3 linked regions of the Caenorhabditis elegans genome follow. The protein of the gene in region 2 purifies or fractionates together with the protein of the main gene of each other region. This does not show direct contact. Each region holds a gene or a part of one and is shown on either strand. Other genes may lie near its edges.

Region 1 (3,514 bases), on a different chromosome or scaffold from region 2:
ATTAGTACTCATGGAGCTGAGCAACTGTTACTTGATACTCATTCGCTAAAAACATTTTTGCTCAGTGTACCATCAATTGATAGTATTATCAACTCAAAACCACCAACGGCATACGTTACCAGTGTGAATGCAGCTCTGACAAAAGCTGAAATGATTTTGAAAGTGAGACATTTTAGATTTTTTAAAGAGATCGAAAAATCAAAAAATCAAAAAACAAAATTCGGTTTTTAAACATGGGTTTTAATTTAAAAAAAAATTGTGAATTTTCCGGAAATTCGAAAGTCAAAATAAGTTTAGAAAGACCAAAATTTTAATTTGTTGTTTTCCATTTTTCCAAAAACGCGAAATTCAAAATAAATAATTTTTCAGGTAGTAATGTGCAGTTTGGAGACTGTCGATGAATTTGTTGAACAATATATTAAACTTCTACCAGCGTCGGATGCAGCAGAAATGCAAAAAGTTCTTGAAATGAAAGGAGTTAAACGACAAGAGCATTCGGCAGTTCTCAACGCTTATCGATTGAAAATCGGTGCATCTGGCTCGGATCCAATTCAACAATCGAATAGTCTAACTTCTCGGATTGGTGGAGCACTACCAACTGTTGGAAGTGCAGCATCTGTATCTGAAGCATTCAATGCAGTTGTATCAATGGCAGCAGATGGATTGTCTGATCAAGCAGTGACGTCATCAATTGATAAGCTTAAAAGATTCGAAAGACTAGTCAAACGACAATTGTGATTGTTGATCTACTACCAAAGAACGAAATTTATAATTTATTTACATAATTTTATTTGAAAGTTTCTCAGAATACTCATCGGAGTTTTGTATTTATTTATTTATTCATGTGAAATGTTTTAATAGTTGTGAATAAGATTTCTAATTCTTACTTTTTATACTTTTTGTTTTAATTTAATTTTTATGGGTTGTTCTCCGAAATTATTTGATTTTTTATTATGCAGTAACTCAAAGATACCGTATCCTCTCTCGCCACAAACGAAATATTTTGAAGCCGTGAAAAAAGGAATGCTCCTTTAAGTAGTACAGTAACCCACTCTCTGTTATCTCGCGCAGTTGTCTCTGCTTTCCCCTTTTTGTTGTAAAATTTTACCAATAAATAATTAGCATACCAAATTGGTCTGCTAATTATTCAGCATACCAAATTGGTCTAAATCTTCGGAATTTTATTTTTCATGTGTTTAGAAAATAAAAAACAATTATTTGGATCTAAAAAATTGCTATGTAAATTGCAATTATAGTACTCTTCAAATGCGCACATCTTTTTGTATTTCACACAAATTTGTCGTGTCGAGACCGGATATGGTTTCTTTTGGCAAAAATCTAAATTTTGCGTCTGTGTTATTTAATAACAATTATAATTGTTCCAAATTAGAGTCTTCTTGACGAAAAAACGTAAAAATTGGCACGTTTAGACACGTTGTATAACAACAAGAAAAACCTTTAAAAAGCAGTGTTTTCTTGTTTTTATTGTTGATTAGTTCATAGATCACAGTTCACACTGTGTGCTCTATCGTTCGTATATCTCTCACTGTCTGCGTCTATTTTCATATCTGTTTCGTTCACTTTTGCATCTTTTACAATTGTCTTCTTTTTCTTGAATACTTCCAATTTTCTTCTCATTTCTTAGTTATCAACATTTTCCAACTCAAGTTCTGAAATTTCAGAAATCAAGATGATGCGCTTCTCGTCGATGCTGGTTCGCAATGCCAAATTGTGTGCAAATGTCAACCAAATGCAAGTCGCCGCATTTTCAAGCAAAGCTCCTGAAATGATCAAGATCGAGAAAGTTGGAGAGAAGCAAAATGTTGCTCTTATCAAGCTGAATAGACCAAAAGCTTTGAATGCTTTGTGCGCTCAGCTTATGACTGAATTGGCTGATGCTCTCGAAGTTTTGGATACTGATAAGTCTGTCGGAGCAATTGTGATTACTGGAAGTGAGAGAGCTTTTGCCGCTGGAGCTGATATCAAGGAGATGGTTAGTCAGCGTATAATCCAATTTTTTAAAAATTATCGGATTTCAGACCAATAACGAGTTCGCCACCACATTTTCTGGAAGCTTCCTCTCCAACTGGACCGCTGTCAGTGATGTGAAAAAGCCAGTTATTGCTGCAGTGAACGGATTTGCATTGGGAGGTGGAAACGAGTTGGCAATGATGTGTGATATTATCTATGCCGGAGAGAAGGCTCGTTTTGGACAACCTGAAATTAACATTGGAACTATTCCAGGAGCAGGTAATTGACAATATTTTAAAATCAAATTTTTAAACGTCGATGATTCAGGAGGTACTCAGCGTTGGGCTCGCGCCGCCGGAAAATCATTTGCCATGGAGGTGTGCCTTACTGGAAACCACGTGACTGCTCAAGAAGCTAAGGAGCACGGTATTGTGAGCAAGATTTTCCCAGCTGATCAGGTTGTCGGGGAAGCTGTGAAACTTGGAGAGAAAATCGCTGATCAATCTCCACTGATTGTTCAAATGGCAAAGGAGGCCGTTAACAAAGCTTATGAGCTTACTCTTCAAGAGGGACTTCACTTCGAAAGACGACTTTTCCATGCCACTTTTGCCACCAAGGATAGAAAGGTAAATTATCAAAATGAATTTTTAAATTGCAATCTAGTTTTGTAGATAAATTATTTAAACTTATTTATTATTACGGTAGAAAAACTGCCAAATAAATACAGTGATCAAAATATTGTTCCAGTTTTTATTCCACCTTCTCTTAAAATGAAATAATCAGTTTCCTACCTAGTTTAGTATTTTTCTCGAAAACCTGATAAATTCCCCTTAAAAGATGTTTTTCAGGAAGGAATGACCGCTTTTGCCGAGAAGAGAAAGCCACAGTGGGAGTCGAAATAGATGCGCATCTACAGATAAGAGAAGAAGATGATTCAAAGTGCCTAGTTGAATTTCTTGTTTTATTATTTTTATTGTGTTTTGTATTTTTTCTGTATTTTACGGTTAGTTTCTTCTGCCATTGAAAATAAATATATATGTAAAGCTGCATCTTCACGATTTTCTGATTCCTTTTTTTTTGTAGTCAGTTTCGATTTTCCATATTTGTGATTTGTGATTGTTTATGTTTTTTTTTTGAAAAAAAAATCAATTAAACACTACAGAAACACTACACACTTGTATGCTGAATAATAGCATACCCACCTTGGGTCTGCTAAATATTAAATTTGTGATTTCTGATTGTTTATGTTGTTCGAAGAAAAAATCAATTAAACACTACAGAAACAGTGGACAGCGATGTGGCTTGACTGGTTCTTTCCCGTGAGTTTTGTAATATTTAATGGCCGGCAGGGAGCAACATCAAGCGGCAAAGTTTGAAAAATCTTCCCTATCACGATTTATTAAGTTCAGTTTCAGTTTCTACTGTACAAAAATGTTTTTATCTACTATACTAGTATATCATTACCTAACCACCAATTTTCGGCCGCCCTTTCTTAGTTTCTCTCAATCTCTTCTAATATTTTCTATATCTGATTACCTCTCTC
Region 2 (9,171 bases):
CTACTAGTATGTTAATTTCAATTGGTTTGAAAAGTTAATGAACTTGCATTATACCAACAAAAATGTCTCAGTTTTATTTGTGTAGCTTAATGTTTGGTAAGAGGTCACGAGAAATTCACAATCCGTTTTGCTCACGTCTTCGATGTTTAAATAGTTTCAAATTTAAAGTGTGCGACCAATTTTGAAATTTGCTTCAGACGCTGGTTTAATTTTTTTTTTCTTTTGCGCGGAACATTTTTTGAGGGGTAGGTAAAACAATGAAATTTGTTTCAAATAAAAATGAGTTTCCCGTAATGCGCAGGAGGGGGTGGCAAAAAAGAAGCGACTCGTTGACTCCGTAATAAGATGGAATTTTCACTCACAACTGATAGTTCTCTCTATTTCTCAAACAAACTGGAAAGCTCAATGCTTGTCATTTCAGGTGTTGTCGGTTCATACGTCTTTTTATTTGAGAGTCGTAGCAGCTCGTTACTTCAAAATCGATTTCGGATTTCTCGCAGAATATCTCGAGTAATCTACTTTACTTACTTCATAATCGCCGTTATGACATTCATGTTTCTTATAATCGCAATTGGTGAAGAAACAGATTGCAGCAAAGCTGCGAGTTCTGGAGATTAACCCTTGCCCCACTCGAGAGTTTTTCATATTTCCAGTTTTTGTCTTTGAGGCTCCACAAAATTTACTTGTTTTTGGTCTAATCTTGATGTTTCTACATTTCACTGGTAATATGTTATTCCATGTGACATGTCTTATATATTATCTCTATGTGTCCCCATCGCTCCTTATGTTGAGGAATACTCGAAAGGATCAATATGTGTTTTTAGTCTGTGTCACAGTACAGATTTCGGAGCCGCTTATTATGGTAGTTTTTCCAACTGCAATCATCTTCTTGGCGGCATAAATGGGATATTATCGACAAGAATGGAATAACTTGGGTACTGACTATCTTGCTTTCCACGGCCTTGTTGAGAGCATTGCAATCATGTTGGTGCACAGACCGTATCGAGAAGCGATTCGAAAGTATTTCAAGAAAGATAATTCAATCGTCATTCACAGAAGTCGAGAGTTTACATAATAAAATATTGACCCATGAAACGAACTGCAAGTGTATGTAAAAGTTTTATTGGAAAAATCGGTGTGCCGTGAAGCGATTCCACAATCACACGAAAAAATAAGATCGTTGGCCGGAGACATAGGCTGAAATTATTTCGGAAATGCCATAGCGATTTTTGAACAATTACTAAAATTACGGAGTAACATCACTAGAGGAGTATTATGCAAAAAATTAATCCAAATGCAATAAATACTATAATTTTTTTGCCACATGGCAAGCAGTTTTCTATCCATCGCACTTTGCTCAACAGGTCTCGTCGCTTTTCCAAATTATGGCCTTCTACATTATTCTCACTAGGACTCCTGTTAGAATAAAGCCGACGCAATTTCCACTATGTACAAATCACTAGTTCTGTGTTTCATTTGATTTGAGTTTAAAAAAAAACTGAAAACTAAGCAAGAACATTTTCAAGTATCAATGTGGTTTTTGAACAATTTGTATATTTCAACCATTGTTGGGTAAGTGTGTTACAGTCCGCGCACATGTGTTTTCAAATATTTTAAATTAGGGCGCATTTTTTTTCTTCGTATTTTTTTTGAATGTCTTCGTATTTACCAATTTTTCTGGTTTAAAAATTATAAATTTCGCTTACATACTATTTGTGAACGATATTTAGCAAAATCAATATTATAATAAGTATAGCCAGAAACATTAATTCAGTACTGAAATTATTGAGACCGACTTACAACAAAAACTAATTCAGAATGCATGGTCATATTGATAAAAGAAATACGGTATGCACCAATATGGCCACTGAACACACGGTGTGGATTTTTTAACAAAAAATCAAAAAAACATGTTACAAGAATTAATTCATTCTTAACCATTGCGTGACACGTGGCATTTTTTTGAGTTTTTTATGGATTTTAGCTGTTTTAAATCATCCAACTTTCAGCTTTGTTTCAGTTTTTCTTCAATTTTTTTCTAGATTATCAAATTTGACAGAATTTTCAAGGAAGACATAAAGAAAAAAACTAGAACAACAAATTTTGTGATAAAGAAAAACAACGACAAAGTATGTATATCTTGCGCCAGGAAAAGTCCTCTAACTGACCACTGTGCCCACAACTTTAAAAAAAAATTTACCATTCTGATAGTTTGATGACTGGTTACAATACTAACATATTTTTAAAATTTTTCTATGTCTAGTTTTTGAGAAAATGTAGGTAGTTGTGAAAAAATGATGGTTTCCCTAACAGGGGAAGGATCTCGAAGAATCATCAGAAATCTGTTACTTAATAACATATATTTGATAGGTGATGATTACAGATAATCACTTCAAAAATAATTAGTTGTTTTAGAGCAGGTTCAGCCAAATTACAGCGTCTTAAGGTTGACTAAAAAGTCTTCATATTTTAATTCAAAAAATCAAAACTTTTGATGTTTATAACGAGGGCATTTTAGTCAACTTTAAGACGCTGTAATTTGGCTGAACCTGCTCTAAAACAACTAATTTTTTTGAAGTGATTATCTGTAATCATCATCTATCAAATATATGTTATTAAGTAACAGATTTCTGATGATTCTTCGAGATCCTTTCCATGTTAGGGAACCACCATTTTTTCACAACTACCTACATTTTCTCAAAAACTAGACATAGTAACATTTTAAAAATATGTTGGTATTGTAACCAGTCATCAAACTATCAGAATGGTAAATTAAAAAAAAAAAGTTGTGGGCACAGTGGTCAGTTAGAGGACTTTTCCTGGCGCAAGATATACATACTTTGTCGTTGTTTTTCTTTATCACAAAATTTGTTGTTCTAGTTTTTTCTTTATGTCTTCCTTGAAAATTCTGTCAACTTTGATAATCTAGAAAAAAAATTGAAGAAAAACTGAAACAAAGCTGAAAGTTGGATGATTTAAAACAGCTAAAACCCATAAAAAACTCAAAAAAATGCCACGTGTCACGCAATGGTTAAGAATGAATTAATTCTTGGAACATGTTTTTTTGATTTTTTGTTAAAAAATCCACACCGTGGAACAGGTTAGAAATTGTAATTTAACAGTTCACGTGTTTTTTCCAAGTATAAAATCAAAACATTTCTGTTGGGTGTACCCAAATGAACACAACGTGTAGTCAGTTGTTCTCGCATTTGTCTCATCTCTATTTCTCTATTTTCACTACGTTCTCTTGTTGCTCTACCACCTTTTCATGGAGAACACATTTTTGCTGGTCAGTTAAACTTCACTAAGTGTAGTTATACCTGTAGTTAACAGTTTAACCAAGTTTTTGTTTATTCGAGCATGCTACGTGCTGTAGATGATTCTTGTCTTCTCATACGGGGTTTCTTACTTTATCAACTTTTTAATCACAAATTTATTTCCCATTCTACTTTTTCCGTGTTCTCTAAAATATTACCGTTAATTCGCACAATTTGCAACATCCACTTCTTCAAAGGAGGAGTATTGCTCTTTGGATACTTTTTGAAAATTATGAGCTTAACATTTTTAACACATTTAACATTTTTTACCTTTTAACATTTTGAGAAAAATGTTAAAATGGTTTAGTTAGTTTTGAGTTAACAGTCGAATTTTTTGATTAAAAAAATCAACTTTTTGGCTTTGGAAAACATCCATAAATTTAGCCGGAAAGCGCAAAAATTCATAAATAGTAATTCATTTCGAAAAATTCCTTTAAAAAATCGGATTTCTCTTCATGAATTCAGCTCCTGTGTTCATAGTTTTTGGAAAATCGTGATGATATCAAAGTTCAATTTATTTGCCATGCGGAATTCATTTACAAAAATAGCTTTTACTGTGTGTGACGTCGTAGAAAAACCAATTAATTTCAAAATATATATTACTTCAAACCTCATTATTACAGATGTTATCACGTGTTGTTCATAGATCGTCTTCGGTGTTTCGAACAAATCTCTCGTTTCGTTTGTTCTCACAGTCTGCATTCGCCGTGCACAGTACTCATCGCGTTGAGAAACAAGGTGACGTGGCTGTCATGAAAATTGATTTGCCAAACACAACAGAAAATGTGCTCAATAAAGCGTTGTTCGCGGAAATGAACGAAACATTGGATAGGGTGAGATTGAAGAGATTTCTTTTTTATAGTTATAAGTTTCAGCTTCAATCTGATCAAAGTGTCAAAGCTATTGTTGTCATGTCCGGAAAACCAAATAGTTTTGTTGCTGGAGCTGATATTCAAATGTTTAAAGCAGAAAAAACAGCCGCTGGAGTTTCAAACCTTCTTCGTGAGGGCCAGAAACAATTATTGACCATCGAGCTGAGCCAGAAACCAATAGTCGCTGCAATCATGGGAAGCTGTATGGGAGGTGGACTTGAAATCGCCCTTGCTTGTCACTACCGCATTGCTGTGAACGACAAAAAGACACTCTTGGGACTTCCAGAAGTGACTCTTGGGATAATGCCAGGAGACGGTGGAACTCAAAGACTACCAAAGCTAACTACTGTTCAGAATGTTCTCGACTTGACATTGACTGGCAAGAGAATCAAGGCAAATAAGGCTATGAAAATTGGAATTGTTGATCGTGTTATTCAACCACTTGGGGATGGAATTTGTACATCAACCGAAACCACTCATAAATATCTTGAAGAAATCGCAGTGCAATCGGCACGGGAGCTTGCCAATGGAAAACTCAAAATTAACAGAGACAAAGGATTTGTGCACAATGCTACGCAAGCAGTCATGACTAGCAAATTTGTACTGGACAATGTGATTCTCAAGATGGCTAAGAATAAGCTTATTAAACTGACCAATGGGAACTATCCGGCTCCACTCAAGATTCTTGACGTTGTCCGGACGGCATACCTAGACCCAAAAAATGGATATGAAGCTGAGGCTAAGGTAAGACAATTTGATTTCATCGTTTTTCCAGTTTTGTTTTCGATTTTCAATTGTCTATCCGTAGACTTGAAGTAGTGTGAAAAGTTATACAAAAATAGTTTTTTAGAGTTTGCAGTCAGCTTTTCTCGTACGCCTGAATTTCATTTTTCGTAATTAGGGAATTTTTAGTCTTCAAAAAAATCAGAGATTGAGAGATCAGAGATGAGAGAATACTTGCCAAGTTCAAAGCTTTCAGGCATTTGGTGAACTTTCACAAACTTTCCAATCAAAAGCACTTTTTGGACTGTTCGAAGGATCGACTAATGCTAAAAAGAACAAATACGGAAAAGGACTTCCGGTCAATGAAATCGCTGTCGTCGGAGCTGGATTCATGGGAGCAGGGATTGCGAATGTAACTATCAATAAGGGTATTCGAACAGTTCTTTTGGATGCCAACCAGGCAGGCGTTGAACGAGGACAAAATCACGTGGCTACACATTTGAATAGACAGCTCAAGAGACAAAAGATTTCGAAATTGGAAAGAGAAAAAATCTACAACCATCTTGTGCCAACAATTGATTATTCCGCCATGAAGAATGCTGATGTAGTTATTGAGGCGGTTTTCGAAGATCTTCCTCTGAAGCATAAAGTTATTAGGCAAATCGAAAACGTCGTTGGACCAAACACAATCATTGCATCCAATACTTCTGCTCTTCCAATCAAGGATATTGCCGCTGCGTCTTCTCGGTCAGATAAAGTATGGTATTGAATTTATAAATCACTTACAGTTTAAATTAATTTTCAGGTTATTGGGATGCACTATTTCTCTCCAGTTGAAAAGATGCAGTTACTTGAAATTATCACTCATGATGGAACATCTAAAGAAACCCTTGCAACTGCTGCTCAGCTAGGACTAAAGCAAGGAAAACTCGTCGTCGTCGTCAAGGATTGTCCCGGCTTCTTCGTCGTCCGATGCCTAAGCCCAATGATGTCGGAAATAGTCCGTCTCCTCCAGGAAGGTGTCGAACCATCTGAACTTGACAAACTCACAACGAAATTCGGATTCCCTGTGGGAGCTGCGACGTTGGCCGACGAAGCTGGACTCGACGTCGCAGAACACGTGGCTCGATATCTCGGAACCGCTTTAGGTCCACGTGTTCATGGAGGATCGGTTGATTTGTTGTCCGAATTGGTGCGCGCTGGACATAAGGGGCGTAAGACTTCAAAGGGAATCTTTGTGTACGGAGATGGGGCAAAAGGCAGCAAGAAAGTAAACCAAGAGGCGGCAAAGCTGTTTGAAAAGTATAAATTGACACCAATCAAATCTGTGTGAGTTTTTTTTAAATACGCATTAAAAAAATAGTTTTTAGAAACTAATTCCCGACCGGCGCAGCTAAAATACGGGCAATGTTTCTTCCAAATTTAGAACCACATAAAAAATGTTTGATAGTTTTGTTTTAGTTCTCACTACGAAATGTGTTTATTAAAAACCCGGAAATTATTTTTAATTTTTTTTAAAAACAATATCCGCACACCGCGAATTATCCATGGCTAATCTCAATCAATGTCGGCTGCGCTTTTTTAGCCCTCAAATGTTTAATTCTTTGGAGATCATACATCAAACTGAACAAAAATATATACAAGTAGCGATTTGAATATAGTAATAATCGTAATATTTTCCAGCTCATCTCCTGAGGACCGTCAACTTCGTCTCGTCTCTCGATTTGTCAATGAGGCACTTCTTTGTCTTGAAGAAGGTGTTATTAGCTCACCATCTGACGGAGATATAGCCTCTGTATTTGGTCTCGGTTTCCCACCATTCTGGGGAGGCCCATTCCGGTTTGTCGATCTTTATGGAGCGGGCAAGTTGGTTGCGGCGATGGACAGGTTTGCCGGAGTGTACGAATCTGTCCAATTTGAGCCATGCCAACTTCTCAGAAATCATGCGAAGAGTGGAGGACAATTTTATAGCTAAAACCAATTTTTGTCTGAATTGTATTTTCACAGCTTATACGGGACATTTTTGTTTTCAATGAATTTCCTTTCAAATTGCTCCCTTTTTATTATGTTTAATGAATGTTATGATAAAAAACTTGTTTGAAATCGCTTCTATAATGCTGAATTTTTGAGATTTTTCAAATCGTCAATCAAAAAGTATGCATTTTTTAAATATGTGAATCCTAAAACAGATTCATAGAATTTAAACATTTATTGAAACAAATAAAAGTTACAAGACAGAAAAAATAAATAAATTCTCAAAACAAAAACAGAAAGACAATTACGCAGGCGAAAAAGAATTCAGAAGAACGTGTCACAGACTTTTCGATATCAAAATTGAGAAATAGTTTGCTTGAATCGGTACCGTTTGGGTAATATTCAATGTGCAAAAAGTTTCCGTGAAAGGTTATAGTAGTGTTGAGAGGTGGAAGATTTGTAGAATTAAAGCTGAAATTGAAGAGATTGAGGATTGCGATGGAACTCGTAAACTTAAAAATTTGAGTTAAAAATCAAATTGAAAAAGAACTTACGAAAACTTTTTTCTAAAATATGCTATGTTTTTAACAAAATTGTAATTTTTAGACTTTACTTTTCAACGCTTCAGCACACCAATCAGTTTATCCATTTTGAAGACTATTTTTACTTTCGGTTTTTCGGTGATTTGCTGAGTTGTTCGAACGCGTATAACTCGACTACCATAATAGTTAGCGAAATATTTTCAACTAACAAACTGTTTTCAATCACCTTTTTTACTTTTTGCTTTTGGCAAAGTTATTTAATTGTTTTCCAGAAAGTTAAATCAGCTGTTATCAGGAGGGTATGTTTTTTTACAACTTTGAAACTAGGTGTTAAAAAAAAACAAAGTTTGATAAAAAAATATTCTAAGTTTTCTAATTTTTGCAATTTGTTGTTCTGTCACAAAGTTGCCAGGAAAACTTATACGAAAATGCATTACGAAAATCAAAATTAACTAAATTTTCTCATAATGAGTAGAATTTTTTTTGAAATCAGTTTTGGGACCAAGCCCCTATATTGGGTAGCCTCCTCCGGCCCTTATAGGAGATCTAAACATATGCAGAAATGACTAGAATTTTTAACAAGTGAATACCGCGCCATTTCATTTGTGAAATATTTACCTCAGTTCTCTTGTTAACTCGATATATCTATAGCAATATACTATTAGTGTGGTTGACCCACTTAAATCCGCTGTAGCAATGTTAACTTTAAATATAGTGTCCGGATTTTTTACGGGTGCGTTGATATGGAAAGCTTCTTGGAATGAGTTTCCATATGAGTCGGATGAAATGAATCCTTTTCTTCCGAAGGAAGTTGTCTCATCGAATGCATCATCTCTTCGTGTGAAGGTGAGAGACGCGGTCTCACCTGTGAAAACAAGTGTTGTTAACCGGCCAAAAAATTCTTGAGGTAGGTTAAGCTCGCTTCTGTTTACACTGAAAGTAATTTTGGGTGTGTGATATTTGTGTCATTTTTCTCAAGAAACCCACTCATAAGTTGTGATCAAATTTGTTTTAGTGACCCCGCCATCAAAAACCTCTAATTTACCAAAGCCAAGTGTCTTATTTAAAACGAAGCTTGTTTCGAATTTGTTGTGATATAGTTGTAGGGCGACTGAACCTTTTGTTCCATCCAATGAAACAATGCCGTCACAGTCTTGGTCATCTGGACACAAAATCCACTCGAATTTGCAAATAGATTTTGTATTTTCATAGTCCTGAAGCACAATGGGACTATTGTTTACAGCCCAGGAATCACCAATATACGAAATTAGCATTTGATTCGAAGTGCTAACATATTGTGATTTTCCCGTCAATAACTGAAGTCCTGTTCCAAGATACGTCGAGTTTCTGGTAGTTCCATCGAAGAACAGTACTCCACGCAAGTATTGAAAGCTGTCCTTGACACCTGGTGGCACAATTGTGGCGGATATTCTGGTATCAGCAGTGATCACGACTTGTTGGTCAGGCATGTTTGAGTAAAGTGGAGGTAAAGTTGCCGATCGGGAGAAATTCAGATATTTTGTTTGTATGAATTGATCTGAAAAAATTAAAGCTAACATGGCATATATCAAATCCAAAGAATTACATGTGTCCCAGAAAATTGAGAATCCAAATTGAACTTTTCGATTACCAGTGGATAGTTTTATGTTTCCTCCATTGGAAACAAAATAAAACGACTCGGATTTCGTAGAAAAAACTCTGAAAATTTATTCTCAAAAATATTTAAATGGTAGTTTTCTGATA
Region 3 (4,648 bases), on a different chromosome or scaffold from region 2:
TTATTAAATATAAATATTTCAGAAGTTCATTTTAATTCCACAAACCGCTCAAGAAGCTTATAAAGATCGTAAGATGCATGCAAAATTCATGATTTCCGAATCAAGAACCTTCATTGGTTCATCGAATTATGGACCTGAATACTTTTACAAATCAACTGGAACTGCAATTATTGTAGACGAAGAACCACATTATGGAGATATCAATAGACAAATAAAAGCTGTATTTGAACGGTAATTAAATATAAAAAATATTTAAAATGTTTCATTGTCTTCAGATACTGGCATAGCACGTACTCACAAAAACTTCAAAAATACGGTGAATCAAAAGGTTATCTTCCAAAAATTTCAAAACCATCGAACCCATTCTCCGGATGGTTTGGGTTTGATCAAATAGGAGTATTTAATGAGAAATACTCTGCTGACGGACTAGTTTACGAGAAGAACCATGGAGAAGATCAGATTCTCGATCCGCTTATTTTCATTTAATTTCGTGTATAAAATTTCAATTGATAAAATTTATTTTCCGTTTTTTATAGCACAAGAAATAAAATATTCGCACCCGAAAATTCAAAAAAGAAGGCAATTCAATTCTAGATACATACAGACTGGCTAAAAGAGCTTCTTACGATAAAAAAAAACAAGTCTAGTTTACAATTTACAATTCAACTGGATGTTGAAGAGTGAGTCCTCCATTTCCACAGACTTCCTTCGCCAATGATTCAATTGTTGCTACCTTCGAAGCATTCTCAACACCACTTCCGGCATCCTTCAGGAATCTGTTTGATGATTTCATCGCCTGAAAGAGTAAATATCGAAATTAAAACTTAAAATTTGGCAGTTATCAAAAATTACCTTATCAACGTAGTAAGTAGCAACTTTGCGTTCAAAATCAGCACTTGAAGATTTGTTCTTGATGGCATAGGTGGCACGAGAAAGAACAGCGGCAGAGCTGTAAATGTTGATGGCAGCGTCGGCAACACGGTGCATCTCATATTGACGATCTACAAAAATTAAAATTAAAAGCAGTTCAAAGGTATTTTATTACCAATTATTCCCTTTTTATGCTTCATGAGTAATCCTTGAACTGTTTGTCCAAACAAAGCAATTTGCTGATCCAATACTTTAGCTGAATCTTGAAGACTTGCGTCGACGACTTGCCCAAAGTTGGAGCCAGTGTTTCCTCTGAAAAATACAGTTTAATAATTCTAAAAATGTGATTTCACAAACCCGGTAACTCTTGAAACAGCCAACCCAATAAGGCCCCCGACTCCAGAAGCTTGCTCGGCAAGATGCTTTCCAGCATGTTGTGCTCCAGTAAGAGCAATGAAGAGGCGGAGAACATCATTGGCTCCTTCAAAGATTCTGAAGATACGAAGATCTCGGAGAACTCTTTCAAGACCAGTCTCGCGCATGAATCCCATTCCTCCGTGAACTTGAATAGCATCGTCGCATACAAGCCAAGCATTTTCTGAAGCTAGAACCTTGCCGATAGCTGCTTCAAGTTGATACTCCTTAATTCCACGATCCATGTTTGATGAAAGCATATAGACAATTGACTCTGTTGCATACAGTTTCGAGATCATTTCTACCAGCTTTTCTTGGATATTTCCAAATTCTTGAAGTTTCTTTCCAAACTGAACACGAGTGGTGATGTGATCGACAGTCTTCTGGATACAATGTTTCATAGCTCCAGTACAGGCAGCTGGAATTCCGAATCTTCCGTTATTAAGAATGTTCATCGCCACCTTGAAGCCTTCTCCTTCTTTTCCAAGAAGATTTTCAACCGGGATTTTTAAATTATCAAAGTGAACTTCAGTTGTGTTCGATCCCTTGATTCCCATTTTCTTCTCTTGTGGTCCACTGGTGACTCCACCAAACGCTCTTTCGACAATGAATGCAGACATCTTGTCCTTTGTTGAGCCATCGGCCTGCTTGACAGGAGTCTGAATAATCAATTGTGAAAGTTTTTCCAAAAAATGAAAATAAATTACCTGAGCAAACACAGTGAAAACATCGGCGAATCCTCCGTTCGAAATCCAGATTTTTCCACCATTCAAAACGTAGTGCTTACCATCAGCAGACAATTCAGCTCTCGTTCTAACTGACTGAATAAATTTAAAGTTTATGAGAAATTAATAATATTCTAGCTTACACTAGCATCAGATCCGGTAGTTGGCTCGGTAAGAGCGAAAGCAGCAAATTTGCGTCCAGTTGCCAAATCGGGAAGATATTTTTGTTTCTGAGCATCCGTACCCTCGAGAAGGATTCCTTTGTAGCCAATCGACTGATGAGCACCCATGACAACACCAAATCCAAGATCGTAAGCTCCAACAATTTCAGCGACTCTGGCCATCTGAGAATTGTTGAATCCGGAACCTTCAAGCTCTGGTGGAACGAGTACACCAAATGTTCCTAGCTCAGCGAATTGGTCCAAAACTGCTCTTGGAATGTCAGAAGTCTCGTCATTTCTGAAAATAAATAAATTGATCATGTAAATTTAAGATTTATTATTCACTTTACGACGTCATTAACTTCGACAAGCATCTTTTCCAGTGGAGACATCACCATTCCAAGAGTTTCTTTCTGTTCGTCAGTCATATTCAGAGGATACGGAAACACCTGGAAATTGGCAGTTTGAACAGGTCCTGCTAAAATTCTCAAATACCTGGTCAGTCACAGCTTTCCCTCTGAAAAGATTCATGACAAATGATGGACTGTCCACTGCAGCGACCTTCTTCGGTTTTGCATCTTTTGCAGCAGCAGCAGAATGCGAAAGACGAATGAATCGTGTTTGGTTGAGCCGTGCAGATTTACTCAGCGTTGACAGCATCGTTTCTCTGGAAGAAAAAACCAATAATATAGGTTTCAATCAGTGAATCAGTAGGGGGTAAATAGCGATGACGGAGATAAAGAGTGAAGAAAACAACTTGGGGGTCGAACGGTGGATAGAGCAGAGACGCAGCATGTGAGAGAACATAGAACACAGACATAACAATACTTTTTTACACTGAACGTCCAAGAGCAATCAAAATAAATAGAATTCAGAATAAGTTTTATAGAAAAGTATTTAGCATTTTATATGAACGCAAAAAAGAACGAATAGGTTTTTTGCTTTTTTTGGATTACATAAAAGAGTGTTTCATAAAATAAGAAGTTTAAAAGTTAACTAAAAATAACTGGAAACATGGTTTGCTCAGTATTTTTCGTAAATTTTCCATAATAAACTGATTAATCGCCAACATACACAAACGATGGAGAGGAAACGTGGAGGACGGTCATTGTTATCTCTTGTAGACTTTGCCCTATGTACTTTGAACGGCCCTGGCTACGCACTAGTGAAAAGACAATGTGATAAAATACACTTTAGCGCAGGTTCGATGAAATTTTCAAGAAAAACATGATTTTATAGCTCTACGGGTCACCTCATGGTACTGAAAAATTCGTATGAACACTTGTTGTCTTATATTTTATCTTTAACGGCCACAAAATAAATTAAAATAGAAAAAAAACGACAATTACAGAAGTTTTCTGCATCGTACTCTGAAAGAAAAATGAATCCGCAATCTGTCGTCACGGTGTTACGGTGGTGTGTTCACACCGTCGGCACTATATTTGACGGCTCATGTTTTAATGTTTTTTACATCTGAATAAATCTGTACATTATAGAAACGAACCGTATGGAATTTGGAATTCTTTCAATGTACGAAAGTGAACGAGTGAAAATATAAACTAATTTAGCGAATGCACAAGTTTGAAAACGTGTGAATTTTTCGGAAGGCTTTTACGCGAAAAAATAAGCTTTATTTTTTTAATTAAAGAAAGAGAAATGGTTCGTAGAATGGATACTGTAATTTAGCTATTTAACAGTCGACAAACAATCCTTGGTTGTTTAAATATCGGAAAAAATAAATCGACCTTCCATGTTAATTTTATTGAACAGACGACAAGGCGTCATAGGTATTTGATGAATGTTTCTGAATTAAGAGAAATCTGAAACTGGTCTATTAATTTTTGTGCGTGCTTCGCTTCAAAATTCAAAACGAAGGAAATTTATTCGATCATTTTCTATAAGTTGAAACCCAAATACTATAGTATACTATGAACACGTTGTACATCTCTCCCGACAAAAGTCTAGTTTTTATATATTTTTTAATTGAAATTTAAAGCCTTGTATACTTTTTTTGCAAATTATTTAAAACATCTAATAATTATCAGTATGTGGTAATAATTCTTTTAGTGCTTATTTTTAAAAAAAAACTATTGATTTCACCCTCGTTATGTAGTCTGCAGCGTAGTCTTATCAACACATGGGGTCAAGACTACACTGTACCGATTCCTTGTTAGGTATTGGCATTTTCTATTTCATTATTTGGTTTTTGTTTCTTCTCCGACAAATACTTAAAAATGGATAAGAAAACTGCTTGCGCACATGTGGCAGAGCCATGCGAGTTCTCATATTCTACCAGAGATGCTATTATTTATGCTCTTGGAGGTAATTTTTTCTAAGACCTTTTGAATAGTGATTAATAATTTCATTTAGTTGGTGCTCGAGCGAAAGAAGATTTGTGCTACGTTTATGAGAACCATGAAGACTTTAAAGTGCTTCCATCGTACATTGTTGCTCCAGGATTTCAAGCTCACACTTTGA

What was found. Proteins that work in one complex are often made in the same cells at the same time.
Region 1: the proteins of ech-1.1 (region 2) and ech-6 fractionate together in Caenorhabditis elegans (co-fractionation; one large-scale study listed by BioGRID). This does not show direct contact.
Region 3: the proteins of ech-1.1 (region 2) and acdh-12 fractionate together in Caenorhabditis elegans (co-fractionation; one large-scale study listed by BioGRID). This does not show direct contact.

Annotation. Positions count from the first base shown.
Region 1 is NC_003281.10:9,751,052-9,754,565, reverse strand, and holds ech-6 (putative enoyl-CoA hydratase, mitochondrial), read left to right. Parts: upstream 1-1,682; 5' UTR 1,683-1,690; coding exon 1,691-1,993; intron 1,994-2,039; coding exon 2,040-2,250; intron 2,251-2,298; coding exon 2,299-2,597; intron 2,598-2,819; coding exon 2,820-2,873; 3' UTR 2,874-3,014; downstream 3,015-3,514. Other genes in the region: vps-53 (Vacuolar protein sorting-associated protein 53 homolog), read left to right, coding at 1-162, 370-738.
Region 2 is NC_003283.11:15,355,508-15,364,678, reverse strand, and holds ech-1.1 (Trifunctional enzyme subunit alpha, mitochondrial), read left to right. Parts: upstream 1-3,940; coding exon 3,941-4,150; intron 4,151-4,192; coding exon 4,193-4,933; exon of another isoform or gene 4,934-5,001; intron 5,002-5,168; coding exon 5,169-5,669; intron 5,670-5,717; coding exon 5,718-6,241; intron 6,242-6,595; coding exon 6,596-6,887; 3' UTR 6,888-7,002; downstream 7,003-9,171. Other genes in the region: C29F3.7 (CUB-like domain-containing protein), read right to left, coding at 7,168-7,357, 8,047-8,361, 8,416-8,965, 9,014-9,126.
Region 3 is NC_003280.10:7,191,934-7,196,581, forward strand, and holds acdh-12 (Very long-chain specific acyl-CoA dehydrogenase, mitochondrial), read right to left. Parts: upstream 2,838-4,648; 5' UTR 2,831-2,837; coding exon 2,666-2,830; intron 2,620-2,665; coding exon 2,516-2,619; intron 2,469-2,515; coding exon 2,153-2,468; intron 2,106-2,152; coding exon 1,992-2,105; intron 1,944-1,991; coding exon 1,228-1,943; intron 1,183-1,227; coding exon 1,046-1,182; intron 1,002-1,045; coding exon 853-1,001; intron 797-852; coding exon 656-796; 3' UTR 501-655; downstream 1-500. Other genes in the region: E04F6.4 (PLD phosphodiesterase domain-containing protein), read left to right, coding at 23-231, 276-486; maoc-1 (MaoC-like domain-containing protein), read left to right, coding at 4,405-4,492, 4,541-4,648.